Ovis aries: one gene and its partners. The protein of the gene in region 4 binds, or shares a complex with, the protein of the main gene of each other region. Links are inferred from orthologs where the notes say so. Each region holds a gene or a part of one and is shown on either strand. Other genes may lie near its edges. The genes, in order: NFE2L2, FBXL17, PTMA and KEAP1.

Region 1 (4,361 bases), on a different chromosome or scaffold from region 4:
GAGGTTTCTTTTTCTCATGTAGCTCTGTAAGTAAAATTCGTGTATTTAGCTTTCAATTCTTCCTGATTATCCTAAAGAAAGTCAGATTTTGGGGTTTCCCCTCCCAGCACTGTTTATAAAAACCCAAGTTGACAAGAAAGAGTCCAAAATGGCCCATGCTACTTTTAATGCAGACTGATGTGAGTTACGTTTTTATCCTACTACAATCTTTCACAATCTCTCAAGAGGTTTTTTTCCAAATATCTAAAAAGTCAAGTTGTTCTTTGCTCAACCTTCTGGAGATGAGAGGGAGGCCTTATTTTTCTTTGGAAGTTACCTACCTAGTCCAAGATCAACTTCATTCCTCATATGCAAAAATACTTTCTCCAAGACAGCTTTGAAAAGGGTAGATGATTCCTTCCAGAAGCTAATGGAAATTCAGAATGTAAAACTCTACTGCTCTTCATCAACACCTCCTTTGCACAAAGGGGGAAGAACTTTTACCCCCGTACCACCTCCTGCCTGGTGTTTCTTTGACAAGAGGTTAGAATCCACTTATGACTCTGTCCAAATCTTCCTGGACTACAAAGATTTAATATGAATCTTAGTTACAGGCATGACATTAACTCTAAATTTTATTCCATTTTCTTTTATACTCTTCGCATATGCAAACTGAGGTCTGATTACAAAGGGTGGAAAGGGAGTTACCTTAACAAACATAATTGGAAAGTTCACATTTAAAAGAAAAAGCAGTAAAGATGTTTACCCACTTTTGTATATGGAATGGTAAATTATATAGTTAAGAAAGAAATAAAAACTTCAGTAATATACCCCTCTAGGCTACATTCCTGAATCTGGGAAAACTAGAGTCCATTAGCATCATATATCCTTTGGTCATATAGATTATTAAAGAAATGGCTATAGGGACTGAACAGCAGCTGAATCGGAAAGCACAATTTATTTCTTCATATCGTGGGGAGGAAGGAACACAGTCTTAATCACTACTGGGGGAAAGTTCAAGACAACAGCTTCCAAGGGAAAAAAAAGGCACAATCACTACATTGTCAATATATCAAAACCTTACTTCAGGATTAGTCTAAAGCTTGATGTTTAAGAGCTTAAATATATTTACCGTTCCTATTAGGTTACACATTTCCTTGAACTAAATATTTTTCCAAAAAACGCATTCACACGCACAAATTGGAAATAAAACTATCTACTCCTTTAAAAAGTCCCTACAAAATATACACAGAAACTTGTTCCCACATTTGCGACATTTACAGAACTTGTTAGCGAAGTTTTATGAGACACAGCTGTCCCACCCTCTGCCCTCTCAAAAGCAACATACTAGGAAAGCAATTGAGGCAAATTCTCAAACAGAAAAGGAAAACTACATAAAGCACCCAAAAGAGAAACAATGTATGAAAGCGCAACATTTAGTAACAGCCTAAAAACAACAGAAATGCTAATCTACACTCGAAATTCTTACCCTTGACAGCAGAGAACAGAATATCCTGCCTTACACATTTTGGAATTGCAATTCCGAAACGCTAAATCCAAAGACAAAGCCGCCCTAGGGAAAATAACAATTGCGCAACAGATCAACAGCTCCAACTTGTCCCTTGGCCCCGGCGCGGCAAGGTTTGCACGCTACAAAGCAGGAAAGGGCCCACTGAGGGCCGCCGTGACAGCCAACCGGCCACTGTCACGGCGCCGGGACGACGCTCGCGGCGTGCGCCACCGGGAAGCACAGCGCCGGGATCGAGAAGCCCCGGGGAGCTGGGGTGGGGTGGGGGGCGAAGGCCCGTCGGACTTCAGAGTCCACCGCCCCACCCGCCCTTGCCGGCGTATTGCTAGGGGCCGACTCAGAGTTCTAAGAGCCCGAACCCTTCCCTCGGGGCGAGGCGGCGCGCAGGGCAGGGTTCGATCGCCGTACGTCGGGGAAACCGAGTGCGCTGGGCGCTTGGTGACCTCCTCCTGCCCCCACCCTGGGAGCTGGGCATTTTCGCCAAGCGGCCTCAGGGCGATCGCAAGGCTGGAGTGATTGATCACTCTGCCTAAGAGAACCCTCAGCAGGGTAAGAGCGCCGCGGCTCGCGCCCGCGGAGGTCTTGAGCAGAGGAGCAGCGGCAGAGGAGGGGTTCCGGGTCCCAGCCCGGAGACCTCAGTTCCCCCGAGAGTGGCCCCGTGACTAGGCACATTTTTGCCGGCTCCGAGGCGGGGGAGCCGCGCAGCCCCGGAAGGGCCGGGCCGCGCCGGCTCAGACCGCCAGTGTCCGCCCTCTCCTACCCGGTTGCCTCCCGGCCGCTCAAACTCGGAGAGGGGGCCGGCCGCGGCTCCAGCATCTCGGCTCCGGCGACCGGGGACGCGGTTAGAGACGCACTTCGCCCCCACGCGCGCTGGCGTAGCCCCCCAACCCCAACCCTACCGCCCTCGGGGGCTGCGGGCGCGTTGTCAGTCACACCATTCCCCGCGCCCCCATACCCCTCGCAGCCCTTGGGGTCGCCACTCCCCTCCCCCGGCCCCAGCTCAAGCGCGGCGGCTCTGGTGTGTGCGCGGCAGCTGCAGTCCGCTCCGGCCACAGACGGGGAAAGAGGCCGATGCGGCTGTCCCTCCCGGGCCGCGGCTCCCTCGCGCCCCTGCTCCCGTCCTGGCACCACCTGCTGGGACGGCAGTCCCGGCGGGGGCAGCTCCAAGTCCATCATGCTGAGCTGGGGACGGTGCTTTGAGGCTCCCCGACGGCGGCCCTGTTCCGGCTGCCGAGGCTTGGAGCGGACACGGCGGTACTGGTGGCGGCGGCGGCTCCTGGGGGATCCTAGGAACTCGCTTCTCCCTGACTTGGCCGGAGTCGCCGATCGGGCTCTTGTCCCGCTCCGCCTCCCGCCCCGCGAGGGCGGGGCGAGAGCCCAAGGCCCTTCCTTCCCCAGCCAGCCGCCCGGGCCGACCTTCCGAAAATCCCCCACCCTCGCCGGGCTGACGCAAGAAGCTGGCCGTCCTGGGGCGGGAAAGAGTTGCGGGCGGGGGTCTCAGGGGCGGCTGCGGGCAGGCAGAGTGCCGGAGGAAGGCCCCCGAAGCTCGCCTGCCTCCGCTGTCAGTTTGCCCTTCTAGCGAATACGGCCATCGCTCCCCGCCCGTGGGATTGAGTTGTTTGCCGAAGGTCGCTGGGGTTCGGGTGCTTTGAAACAGTTTAAACAGTTGAAACAAACATGCTTGGAGACTCGGCAAAGGCGATGGTATCGGAGCTGCGCCTCCCTGCTTTGGATTTGCAGAACCTTGCCCGGCTTTCTCTCTCCCCACCGCCCGAGAGTGGCGCCAGCCCGGGGGGTGGGGGCCGGAAGCCGGGACCTGGGCCCAGCTCACGGCGAGCTGCCCTCTCGCTCCGGCTCAGCCAGTGAGACTGGCCCGGGGGAAGAGTGGACCGCGCGGGGAGCTCGTGCTCGGTCACCCTGATCGCCCTCCACTTACTCCCACGCCTTGCACTCTGGCCAGGCTTCAGTCCCCGAGGGCGAATGGAGAAGTCTCTTTGGATCGGAGAGTGGTCGAGCTTGCCCATCCGGAGCATTCTCTTCCCACCAGAGTGCACACGCCACACCATAGATGGCGATTTTTAACCCTGTTCGATATTACAAACGTGTCATAACCTCTAGAAGTTTTCACGTACTCAAGATACGATTTTAAAAACAAAAACGCAAAAAACAAGTTATAAAACTGTGTAGTATGGACCCGTTCTGTGAAAGCATGTACCTAGAAAAAAAAAAGTTCTTCAAAATATTACTAGTAATATTAATAGTTGCAGGACCTTGAATGATTTTTATCTCTTTGTTACTTTAAGTATGTTTTAAATCTACGATAAATGTGTATTATTCACTGCACCTTAAAAACAATTATTTAAAAAGTAGTCAGTGCCCAGAGCAAACTTCAAGTACTTGAAAACAGGAATATTGTGAAATCTTATGATTTAAAAAAGAATAGAGAAATGGTTTAGTTTTGTTTTCTCTTATGCAACAGCACTCTTTCTAGCTCTTTAACAAGCCTGATTTTCAGTTTATCACTTCTTCGAATTATGCAAAACCAGGTGGAGTAGACAGTGTCTGGCACTGGTTTTACTATTTCATTCAAAAACCTGACGCCAAAAAAAGAAAAAGAAAACCATAAAAGCCTGACTACAGCAGACCAACGCCCCCAAAGCTGCAAAGAACTTACTTTCTCTTGGTTGCGTAATTTGACCCTCCCAGGACTTACCTGTTGATTTATATGTTGGAATATTTCTTAAGGTAAGTGAAGCCTAAATTAATTGCCTGTAATTGAAGTAAGTTTCTTCAATTTGAATTAAACTTTCAGCTGTTAAGTGAGAAGGCTGCAAAATGATCTGCACACTAACAA
Region 2 (4,100 bases), about 92 Mb from region 4:
TCATGAAATAATGACAGTTTAGGTAGAAAGTGGGAAGTATCTGCTTTTTACTTTGTTTTTAAACAGTCTTACTTACCAAATAACAAGACAGCAATCAAACCTCTATGCCAAATATCTGTGGATATTTCATTTGTCCATGTTGTCCACTAAGTTAAAAGATTCAAGAACATTCCCTCTGCCCTAAAATGCACAGCCTGAACATACAGAGGCAGTAATTACTCCTTCAAAAATACACTACTGAAAGGTAAACAACTTCAGTTCAGTTGCTCAGTCGTGTCTGACTCTGTGACCCCATGAACCACAGCACGCCAGGCCTCCCTGTCCATCACCAACTACCGGAGTTCACTCAGACTCAAGTCCATTGAGTCGGTGATGCCATCCAACCATCTCATCCTCTTGGACATGTGGAAAAGTTAAGCTTTCCCAGTTCTTTGCTATATTATTTACAAAAATATTAATATCACAGTAAAACAAATCCAAGCACACAGGATTATAAACATGCAAAAAGTCCAATCAAAGTATATTGTTCAGAATAAAAATTATAATTGATGACAGCTACTTCAATAACAATAAAACTAGCCAAATTCTTATCTAGGTTTTTCTAGTTAGTCTTAAATATCATCCACAGTGATAAAGGGGGTTTATATTTATAAGCTCCAGAAAGCTGCAGTGTGGGGGTGAGAGAGGAGAGAAAATGAACGGAAAAGAAACTTTTTAATACTAACTTACTACAAAGTATCACGTACTTAAATTCATCACTGCTGCTGCTGCTTGACAAAACTGCAAATTTTACTTGGTAGCTGAAAGTGGGACCAGGTTTCCACGGGATATCTACCTCTTCCCCACACACGTATCCCCCCAACAAAAAATACACTTGTCCTTACCGTCTGGTAATCTGTCTGCATTACCTAAGATAATAGAACATAGCATAAATAAAAGGGTTTTCAAGTCAGACAGGCCTAAACTCCGCAGATCTGTCTGTGTGTGACCTTGGGCAAGTCATTCAGCCCCTTGAAGCACCGCTGGCCTGTAAGCTCCACAGGAACACACACCACGTCGGCCTGACTTTCGACTGTAGGCACTTGCGCTGATACATCGGTTTCTTCTTGTGTAAAGATGTTAACAATATTTCTTTCATGGCGTCAACTGAAGGATTCGGTGAGATATTATGTATATAAAGCTCTGGCACTGTGCCTGATCATCGTGGTCAAGTGCTCGATAGATAAAAGGTAACTGTTTTTTGACATCAGCTAGCAGTTATCAAATCTGAAATTACTGTCTGAACACTTTCCAACACTAATATACAAGTCTTTACTCGGTTAAGTGCAAACCGCTCAAGGGATTAAAAAAAAAAAAATTTTTTTTTTCTTTTTTTTTTTCACAGAAAACCTACAGTTTCTACAACAGTGGGCTTGGGACTCTCCTAGGTGAACCGGGATTACGCGCAGCAGACCCAAGCGATTAAAAGGACCTTCAGCGGACTCCAAGCCCCTGCACCTGAAATAACCGGGTGTCAGGGAGGCCCCCCCGCGGGGCGTGCAGCAGAGAGAACCCCCGAGCGGGCCCGGCGGGGGGTGGGGGGCACGCAGACCCACCTTAAGCAGGATGGAGGGCGGCAGCTGGTTGATGTCCGGGGCGTCGGGGGGCGGCTCCCTGTGGCAGTCGCACGGCGGATCGGGGCCCTCCGGACAGTCGGCGTCGCCGCACTCGTGCTGCTGCTGCCGGGCGACCGAGGGGGCGGCGCCCCCCGCTCGGACCGCGTCCCCGCCGGCCTCCGCGGGGGCCCCTCCCGGAGCGGCGGGGGAGCGCGGGGCGCGGAGCGGCGGCGGGGGGTGCTGCTCGGGGCCGCCGCCCGCAGGCCCGCCGCCGCCGCCGCCTCCGCCGCAGGCGCCCCCGCCGCAGCGGGGCTGCTTACAGGGGGTGCAGGCGGGGACCCCGGCCCCCTTCCGCTTGCACACCATCTCGGGGGGCGCAGGGGGCTCGGCCGGCGGCGCCCGGAAGAGCCGCGAGGCGGCGGGCGGCGCGGGCGGACGCACGGGCCCCGCGCGGGCCCACAGGAGGCTCCGGGCCGGCCGCTCCCGGGCGGCGGCGGCGGCCGGCCCCAGCTCCCCGCGGCCGGGGGCGGGCGGCGCGGCGACGGCGGCGGCGGCCGAGAGCAGAAGGCGGCGCGCGGCGTCCTCAGCGGCCAGGCCCGCGCGGCGCCGCGCCGGGGGCTGTGAGGAGGCGGCCGCGCCGTAGGCCCCGAGCGGCCGCGGCGACGACAGCGGCGGCTCCTCCTCCGGGCCGGCGGGGGCGGGCGCGCCGGGGCCGTGCACGACGAGGCAGAGCATGCAGGGCCCGCGGAAGAGGCAGTCCCGGCCCCGGGGCGCCGCCGCCGCCTTGGCCGGGGCCCCGCGGGGCCACCTGAGGAGAGGCCGGCGGCGGCGGCGCCACCAGCTGCCGCAGCGGGGCCGCTTCTGGCGCGGGCGGCGGCGCGGCTCCTTCGAGAGCAGGAGGCCCATAGGGGAGGCCCCGCGCAGGGGCCGGGTCAGGGCAGGCCGCGCGGGGGTCGGCCTCGGGCCCGCGGGCACACGCGGGCACACACACACACGGGCACACACGCGGCGCTGGGGGGCTACATGCTCTGCCCCGGGACGCCGGGAGACCACGGCGGGGCGCGAGCTCTTGGGACCCGACGGAGGCCGGCGAGCCTGCTGACCGCGCGGCTGCTCGCAGCCTGGGCCGCCGCCTCAGTTGGTCAGGGCGGCGGCGGGGGAAGCGCGGGGCGCGCCTCAGACCACTTTAACGGCGGCTCTGCCGGCGGCGGCGCGCGCGCCCGCGGCACAGCTCGGCGCGCCGGGAGCGCGCGGCCCGAGCGGGAAGGGGGCGGGGCCGCGGCGGAGGCGCGCGCGGGGAGGCGGAGCGGGAGCGCGCGGCCCGAGCGGGAAGGGGCGGGGCCGCGGCGGAGGCGCGTGCGGGGAGGCGAAGCGGGAGCGCGCGGCCGGATCGGGGAGGGAGCGGGGCCTCAGCGGCGGGGGGGCGGCTCGGGAGCGCGCGGCCCGCTCGGGAAGGGGGTGTGGCCGATCGGGAAGGGGGCGGGGCCTCGGCGGCGCGCGTGGCCGCTCGCCCCCTGAGGGCCGCTCGGCCGGGCCCGCCGTCACGGGTGCGGGCTCACCGCCCCCTGTCCCCGTCGCCCGCGGTCTCCCGGAGCCCACGCCCCCTTCGTGGGACCGGGGGGAGCCGCCTCCGAGCTCGTCGGGTGACGTCCGTGGGCACAGTCGCGCTGACGTCGCTAGGCGCACGTTCGGGAACCGCCATTGGCCGGGAACCGGCGCTCTCACCGCCCGACCGGACGCCGAGGCCGCTGAGGAGACCCGGTCCCGCCCGAGGCCAGCCCGGGTGCCCGGCGTGCTCTCCGCGAGAATGGTTCTCCCGCGAGGGACTCACGGGTGGACCGGCTCTGCCGTGTTTCTGCGCTTGTCTGCGGACACCTGTTGCTAGGGACGGACCGGCTTTCCCTAAGTGCATTTCAGGATAAACGCACTTATCAGGTAATTTCAATTCAGTCGCTCAGTCGTGTCCGACTCTTTGCGACCGCATAAACCGCAGCACACCAGGCCTCCCTGTCCATCACCAGCTCCCCGAGTTCACCTAAACCCATGTCCATTGAGTCGGTGATGCCATCCAACCATCTCATCCTCTGTCGTCCCCTTCTCCTCCCACCTTCAGTCTTTCCCAGCATCAGGTTATTTTCCAGTGAGTCACTTCTTCACTCAGGTGGCCAAAGTATTAGACTTTCAGCTTCAACACCAGTCCTTCCGATGAATATTCAGGACTGATTTCCTTTAGGATTGACTCGTTAGATCTCCTTGCAATCCAAGGGACTCTCAAGAGTCTTCAACACCACAGTTCAAAAGCATCAATTCTTCGGTGCTCAGCTTTCTTTATGGTCCAACTCGCACATTCATACATGACTACTGGAAAAACCATAGCTTTGTCTAGACGGACCTTTGTTGGCAAAGTGATGGCTCTGTTTTTTAATATGCTGTCTAGGTTGGTCATAGCTTTTCTTCAAAGGAGCAAATGTCTTTTAATTTCATGGCTACAGTCACCATCTGCAG
Region 3 (2,648 bases), on a different chromosome or scaffold from region 4:
GTTACTTGGGACATCAGGATTGTCACTGAATCCCTCCTACCTGTAGGTTCGGGCCCCTTTGCCAGCCCTAGGCTACTCAGAAGACTTACTGGTTCCCTTTTCCTTTTTGAAGGACTTAAAGGAGAAGAAGGAAGTTGTGGAGGAGGCGGAGAATGGGAGAGAGGCACCTGCCAATGGGAATGCTGTGAGTGTCTGTTGTGGTCATGACCCACCCCCCCACTCCCGGCAGCTCCTGGCCTGGAGTTCTTACTTAAGACTTTGGGCTTAATCAAGGGTCGGGCGGGGGGCTGAGGCCTTAGCCAGTTCTGTATTGGGATCTCTGGCTGGAACTTCAGGGGGCATCTCTCCGGGGGTCTGTTCTGTAGAAGCCCAGGGTAGGGTCTGGAAGAAGTGATGTTGGGGGCAGAGTGATGTTCTGTCCTCATCAACAAGCTGCTCTGCTTTCTGTCGAGGAGAATGAGGAAAATGGGGAGCAGGAGGCTGACAACGAGGTAGACGAAGAAGAGGAGGAAGGTGGGGAGGAAGAGGAGGAGGAGGAGGAAGGTGATGGTGAGTAGCTTTGTTCCTCTAGTACCTTCTGGTCTTCCTAGCAGATGGGGAGGGACTGGGGTCTTCCTGGGGGGTGGCAGGTCCAAGGCACCACCTCCAACTGGGCTTATAGCCACAAAGCCAGCATCTTTCTCACTTTAGGCTAGTGACTGTGGGGCTGTGCCCCTAGCACCACACTCAACGCCCACTGGAGAGTGCCCTCCATGCCCTGATCAGTTGGTTGGTGGGGCTTCTCTGGTTTCGCTTGGGTCTTACCTCTGATGATAAGCTGCCCGTGATGGGCAGTGTGGGTGCAGTGACTGCCCAGCTTGTCAGGCAGCAGAGATGGCTCAGCGGCACTCAACCCTGGTTACTCTGTTGCTGGAGATTGCCCAAGGAGCTGCAGTTTTCCTGTCATCGTGTCCACCCCCCCACCCTACCTGTTGCTGCCTGCCACTGAGTGGGAGAGTCCCAGGACCCACTGTGCCCGGTTAGTTGAGGAAGGCAGAGTGGTTTACTTGGGCTTTGTTCTCACCAGGTGAGGAAGAGGACGGAGATGAAGATGAGGAGGCTGAGGCAGCTACGGGCAAACGGGCAGCTGAAGATGACGAGGTGGGTCTGGTCTGGCTTGAGTTGGGCCAGAGGGCTGGGATCTGAGACACTAACACTGGAGGGCTTGATGGGGCTTAAAAGTGGTCATAAGGTGCGGGGTGTGGTCCTTCTCCTCTTGAGCTGGAGTGGGAACAGGGGCCTATGGGACCGCGCATGCCTGGTTTTAGTTTGGCCCTTAGGAGCTCAGCCAGTGGGTGGGTGGGCCCAGGGGATTGGAAGAGACCTTGACAATCCTTCCCTTCCCAGGATGACGATGTGGATACCAAGAAGCAGAAGACTGATGAGGATGACTAGACAGCAAAAAAGGAAAAGTTAAACTTAAAAAAAAAAAAAAAAAGGCCGCCGTGACCTATTCACCCTCCACTTCCCGTCTCAGAATCTAAACGTGGTCACCTTCGAGTAGAGAGTCCCGCCCGCCCGCCCCTGGCGGGCAGCGCCACCCACAGACGACAGCGCTCTCCACCACCCAACCAAAACCACAACGTGAATTTGCAACAGGGGAGGAAAAAGAAAGAACCAAAACTTCCAAGGCCCTGCTTTTTTTCTTAAAGTACTTTAAAAAGGAAAATTTGTTTGTATTTTTTATTTACATTTTATATTTTTGTACATATTGTTAGGGGTCAGCCATTTTTAATGATCTCGGATGACCAAACCAGCCTTCGGAGCGTTCTCTGTCCTACTCTGACTTTACTTGTGGTGTGACCATGTTCATTATAATCTCAAAGGAGAAAAAAAACCTTGTAAAAAAAGCAAAAACAACAACAAAAAAAAACAATCTTATTCCGAGCATTCCAGTAACTTTTTTTGTGTATGTACTTAGCTGTACTATAAGTAGTTGGTTTGTATGAGATGGTTAAAAAGGCCAAAGATAAAAGGTTTCTTTTTTTTCCTTTTTTTGTCTATGAAGTTGCTGTTTATTTTTTTGGCCTGTTTGATGTATGTGTGAAACAATGTTGTCCAACAATAAACCGGAATTTTATTTTGCTGAGTTGTTCTAACAAAGCTGTCTCAGGCCTGGTTTTTCTGTATTGGTTTCTTTAGGCTTTCTCCAGAGGGGCAGGGGCAAGAAGAGGGGAGGATCTTGAACCTGCTGTCCTTCCTGGGGACAGTGGGTTGGAGACCTCAGTTGGGAGAGGTGTGCCCCTTGGCACCAGGGTCTGGTGGGTGGCCATCCTGTAGTCAAGTACTGAGCTGCAACTGGCTAATGGGGACATGATGGAGCACTATAGAGCTATGGGCTGAAGGGGGAGCCACTTACCAGCTTCATCCCTTCCTAGGATTGTAGTGAGAGCATCTACACTGAAATTGTTTAACCCAGTTTCATTAGAAATCTGCCGACACCTCTATAGGCTGGGGGAACAAGCTACATGCGGGGCTGCCCTCTGGATCCAGGAGGTGGGGTAGGGGGTTGTCCAGGCCCAAGTGAAAACTCAGGGCCAAAGATCCCAGAGATGCCACCTCCCTGTGGGACAGCTGCTAGCTGTGCCCTTCACCTCAAAGGCCTCACT
Region 4 (3,561 bases):
ACGGAGCTGCACCAGCGTGCCCGGGAATACATCTACATGCACTTTGGGGAGGTGAGTGAGGGATGGGGACATGGCACCAGGGCTTCAGAGCAGCCTTGGAGGGCCAGGAAACAGACAGGTGGTCATCACCATCTCCCCTTGAGAGGTGAAGGATCAAGGCAAGGAGATGGAGAAAAGTAGGGTTGAGCTCCCAGTCTAGATGTCTGTGACAAATCTAGGAAACAGCTGAAGAAAGTGAGACTGTCATGGATGTCTGGGCTCCCTGGGGTCAAAGGTGGGGACAGAGGGCAGTGACTCTGACAGCAGTTCCACCGTAGGCTGCCCTGAGCAGGGCCTGACGTTCCAGGCAGTCAGTAAATATTTATTGAACACCCGTGACATGCTGTCAATGGCCAGTGTGACCCTTACACTGTGGTGGTTTTCTTTAGTCCACAGAGTATTGTGCTCAGACTAATCTTTGTTTCATTTTCATTTTCAAGTGGAGGAAGTTGTGAGTAGAGAACATGAGTGCTTGTTGAGTACTTGGTGTGGGCCAGCCTCTGTTCTAAGTGATTTCCAGCCTTTAAATCTGAGTCTTCCCAGCTATCCTAGGAGGAGGTATGCTTTGGAGTGCCTTCCTGGATTTTTTTTTTTTGCTACACCACACAGCTTGCAGGATCTTAGTTCCCTGACCAGGGATGGAACCCTGGTCCTGGCAGTGAAAGCCCTGAGTCCCAACCACTGGACCACCAGGGAACTCCCCCCTTCTGGAAATTTTTAAAATCATCCTCCCGTGGCTGGGACCAGCTAGGTGGACACTACCCTTGGTCTCTGTGCCTCTCCTTCTCTACCATCTTGGGGGTTGACCAGATGCCCCAAGAAGCTCTGACATTAGTCTTAGGACTTATGGCTTCCAGGATGGTGGCCCAAGAACAGGGTTGTCCCACTGACCTGCACAACAGTAGTGTCAAGGGGTTGTCTCGGCTTGAGGTAACAGGAAGCTGGGATCCCGCTGATGTGGGGTGACAAATTATTTATATAGACCAGTGCCACATAAGAAATATTTACCTTAGCAATAACCCTGCTAGGAGTTAGCGACTAATATAATCCTCCTTTTATAGAGGAAGAAAACCAAGGCACGGAGTGTTTTAGGTTTTTGCCCAAGGTGGTACAATTAGAAGGTAGTGGGCCAACACTGCAACTCAGGCTGCTTTCTTCAAGCCTGAATTTTATTTTCTTTCTAACATACTGTGTTGCTATTTCCTTTGACGGAGAAGGCAATGGCACCCCAGTCCAGTATTCTTGCCTGGCAAATCCCATGGATGGAGGACCCTGGCAGGCTGCAGTCCATGGGGTCGCTGAGAGTTGGACACGACTCAGTGACTTCACTTTCACTTTTCACTTTCATGCATCGGAGAAGGAAATGGCAACCAACTCCAGTGTTCTTGCCTGGAGAACCCCAGGGACGGGGGAGCCTGGTGGGCTGCCGTCTATGGGGTCTCACAGAGTCAGACACGACTGAAGTGATTTAGCAGCAGCAGCATTTCCTTTGAAGTCAGTCTGCTCTTTTGAAAAAATAATTTCATTAAAAAAAGAAAGGGGCAACATTCTTACAGTTCAGATACAAAATGATACAGAATCTAAGAGGTGACGTTGTTTCTTTTTCTCATTTATGTGCTTACCTGCTATGTGCCTGGCATGTAGTGTTAACTCCTTGAATTCTCACACACTGAGAGTTCCGTGCTATTCAAATGCCTGTTTCTTTTCTTTAAATTTTATTTCTTTGTGGCTGTGCTGGGTCTTCGTTGCTGCTCATAGGCTTTCTCTAGTTGCAGTGAGCAGGGCCTTTTCTCTAATTGCGCTGTGCAGGCTCCTCAGTGCAGTGGCTTCTCTTGTGGAGCACGGGCTCTAGAGCAAGAGCTCAAGATTACGGCACATGGGCTTAGTTGCCCCAAGGCATGCGGTATCTTCCCCGTCTAGGGATCAAACCTGTGTCCCCTGCATTGGCAGGTGGATTCTTAATCACTGGACCACCAGGGAAGTCCCTCAAATGCCTATTTCACACCTGAGGAAGCTGAGTTAGCAGAGGCAGATTGAGTGTCTTGTCCAAGGTCCTGGCAGGGGCTTGGCAAGGGGCTGGGGGGTATGTGTCGGGGTCCAGCCCCAGCAGGATCCGGGGTTCCCTCAGGATGGACGGCATTGGAGAGAGAGAGAGAGAGAGAGACGGGGAAACCAAGCTTAGGTGGAACAGGTCTGTAACTTTATTTTTAAAAAGAGCTTTCATACCTTGGGTTGTACATAGAGGGGGATGGAAGATGCAGAGTCATGCAGGGTCAGCAGTTCTGACCCTTATTGAAACCAGGCTTTCTTTCTGCATACCTTTCTATATACAAAGGTCTTATGTGATTTACATCCTCTTCTGGCCTGGAGGCCTGTTAACATTTTATGACCCTTTTTTCTGATAAAGGTTAGTCAACTAGAAAACTTATTTTCTCTAAAAGTGTTTGTTCTAAAGTCCGGCACCACTCTCAGAAAGTACTAAATAAAGTTACATTCCTATGGGACAAAGGTGCAGTGGGTTATAACAAAGAAAAAATTTATTAACTCAAAGGTCTAATGTTGCTAACACCAAGGCTACTACTTATTTTCCCTACATACCAACTATATTAACTAGTATACTCCCAGGCACACAATGGGTAAGGGATATGGAAACTTGGCAGCAAGCACTGGCTCAACAATGAAATCCTTCACCAGCACTATTCTAATAATTTTTGCTCCTCAAAGGGCTCTATGCCTATTAGGACTTTAGAATGTTTAAGTTCCCCTGCCTTTCATGGTTGGGAAATTGTGAACAATCATGTATGTGCGTTAGTTTTAAGAGTATGGATAAACCTGCCACGCAAGTTAGAATGCTAACAGAGAGGTTTGAATTGAAATATTCCTTTCATGCCCAGGAGACTTATCAACTAGAGCCCTAAGTTGATTTTCTCCAGAGAAAGGTGGTCGGGGATAGCCCCTGTTAATGCCAGACGAGTAAGTGAAAGGCATAATATAGTAAACGGTAGACAGATTTTGTTATCTGGGTAGATGCTCGAGCAGGTCCAAGGAGTCCCTCGAGTCCTGATCCTCCTTGCCTGTCAGGTCTCTCCTCATGACCTTGTCATGGGTGGGATCTCCTGTGCTGGCTCCTGGCAGGTGGGAGTGGAGAGAGACCTTAAGTCAGCCCATGGCACTGTCGCCCTCTGCAGGTGGCCAAGCAAGAGGAATTCTTCAACCTGTCCCACTGCCAGCTGGCAACCCTCATCAGCCGGGATGACCTGAATGTGCGTTGCGAGTCTGAGGTCTTCCACGCCTGCATCAACTGGGTCAAGTATGACTGCGAGCAGCGGCGCTTCTACGTGCAGGCGCTGCTGCGGGCTGTGCGCTGCCACTCGCTCACGCCCCACTTCCTGCAGATGCAGCTGCAGAAGTGTGAGATCCTGCAGTCGGACTCCCGCTGCAAGGACTACCTGGTGAAGATCTTCCAGGAGCTCACCCTGCACAAGCCCACGCAGGTGATGCCCTGCCGGGCGCCCAAGGTGG

The links.
Region 1: the proteins of KEAP1 (region 4) and NFE2L2 are in contact, whole or in part, in a crystal structure (PDB 3WN7), measured with the Mus musculus proteins. The link is inferred for Ovis aries from reciprocal best matches to the Homo sapiens genes KEAP1 and NFE2L2. Residues at the interface, in NP_001103775.1 of Mus musculus: Tyr334, Ser363, Gly364, Arg380, Asn382, Pro384, Asp385, Gly386, Asn387, Asn414, Arg415, Ser431, Gly433, Cys434, His436, Ile461, Phe478, Gly480, Arg483, Ser508, Gly509, Tyr525, Gln530, Ser555, Ala556, Tyr572, Phe577, Ser602, Gly603; in NP_035032.1 of Mus musculus: Leu19, Ile22, Leu23, Arg25, Gln26, Asp27, Ile28, Asp29, Leu30, Gly31, Val32, Val36, Phe37, Phe39.
Region 2: the proteins of KEAP1 (region 4) and FBXL17 are in contact, whole or in part, in a crystal structure (PDB 6W66), measured with the Homo sapiens proteins. The link is inferred for Ovis aries from reciprocal best matches to the Homo sapiens genes KEAP1 and FBXL17. Residues at the interface, in NP_036421.2 of Homo sapiens: His59, Thr60, Ala63, Ile66, Met67, Glu69, Leu70, Gln75, Leu76, Gln82, Lys84, Ala90, His96, Val98, Ala101, Ser102, Ser103, Ser104, Pro105, Val106, Lys108, Ala109, Met110, Thr112, Asn113, Gly114, Val122, Ser124, Glu126, Gln163; in NP_001156787.2 of Homo sapiens: Asp395, Arg397, Arg421, Lys423, Asn447, Gln473, Tyr475, Met524, Arg548, Asn572, Cys574, Leu575, Trp577, Glu596, Tyr598, Val600, Ser601, Asp623, Trp626, Lys628, Tyr647, Met651, Arg652, Val676, Leu677, Asp679, Cys680, Thr683, Leu684, Arg686.
Region 3: the proteins of KEAP1 (region 4) and PTMA are in contact, whole or in part, in a crystal structure (PDB 2Z32), measured with the Mus musculus proteins. The link is inferred for Ovis aries from reciprocal best matches to the Homo sapiens genes KEAP1 and PTMA. Residues at the interface, in NP_001103775.1 of Mus musculus: Tyr334, Ser363, Arg380, Asn382, Arg415, Phe478, Arg483, Ser508, Gly509, Tyr525, Gln530, Ser555, Ala556, Tyr572, Gly574, Phe577, Ser602; in NP_032998.1 of Mus musculus: Gln40, Asn41, Glu42, Glu43, Asn44, Gly45, Glu46, Gln47.

The regions. Positions count from the first base shown.
Region 1 is NC_056055.1:132,851,706-132,856,066, reverse strand, and holds the start of NFE2L2 (nuclear factor erythroid 2-related factor 2), read right to left. Parts: upstream 2,832-4,361; 5' UTR 2,684-2,831; coding exon 2,639-2,683; exon of another isoform or gene 2,289-2,638; intron 2,154-2,288; exon of another isoform or gene 1,916-2,153; intron 1,499-1,915; exon of another isoform or gene 1,469-1,498; intron 1-1,468.
Region 2 is NC_056058.1:104,988,363-104,992,462, forward strand, and holds the start of FBXL17 (F-box/LRR-repeat protein 17), read right to left. Parts: upstream 2,820-4,100; 5' UTR 2,502-2,819; coding exon 1,596-2,501; intron 1,482-1,595; exon of another isoform or gene 1,385-1,481; intron 1,230-1,384; exon of another isoform or gene 1,023-1,229; intron 1-1,022. UniProt on the Homo sapiens protein: Substrate-recognition component of the SCF(FBXL17) E3 ubiquitin ligase complex, a key component of a quality control pathway required to ensure functional dimerization of BTB domain-containing proteins (dimerization quality control, DQC).
Region 3 is NC_056055.1:233,412,049-233,414,696, forward strand, and holds the end of PTMA (prothymosin alpha), read left to right. Parts: intron 1-112; coding exon 113-184; intron 185-452; coding exon 453-549; intron 550-1,066; coding exon 1,067-1,140; intron 1,141-1,386; coding exon 1,387-1,434; 3' UTR 1,435-2,142; downstream 2,143-2,648.
Region 4 is NC_056058.1:12,864,360-12,867,920, reverse strand, and holds part of KEAP1 (kelch-like ECH-associated protein 1), read left to right. Parts: coding exon 1-51; intron 52-3,227; coding exon 3,228-3,561. UniProt on the Homo sapiens protein: Substrate-specific adapter of a BCR (BTB-CUL3-RBX1) E3 ubiquitin ligase complex that regulates the response to oxidative stress by targeting NFE2L2/NRF2 for ubiquitination.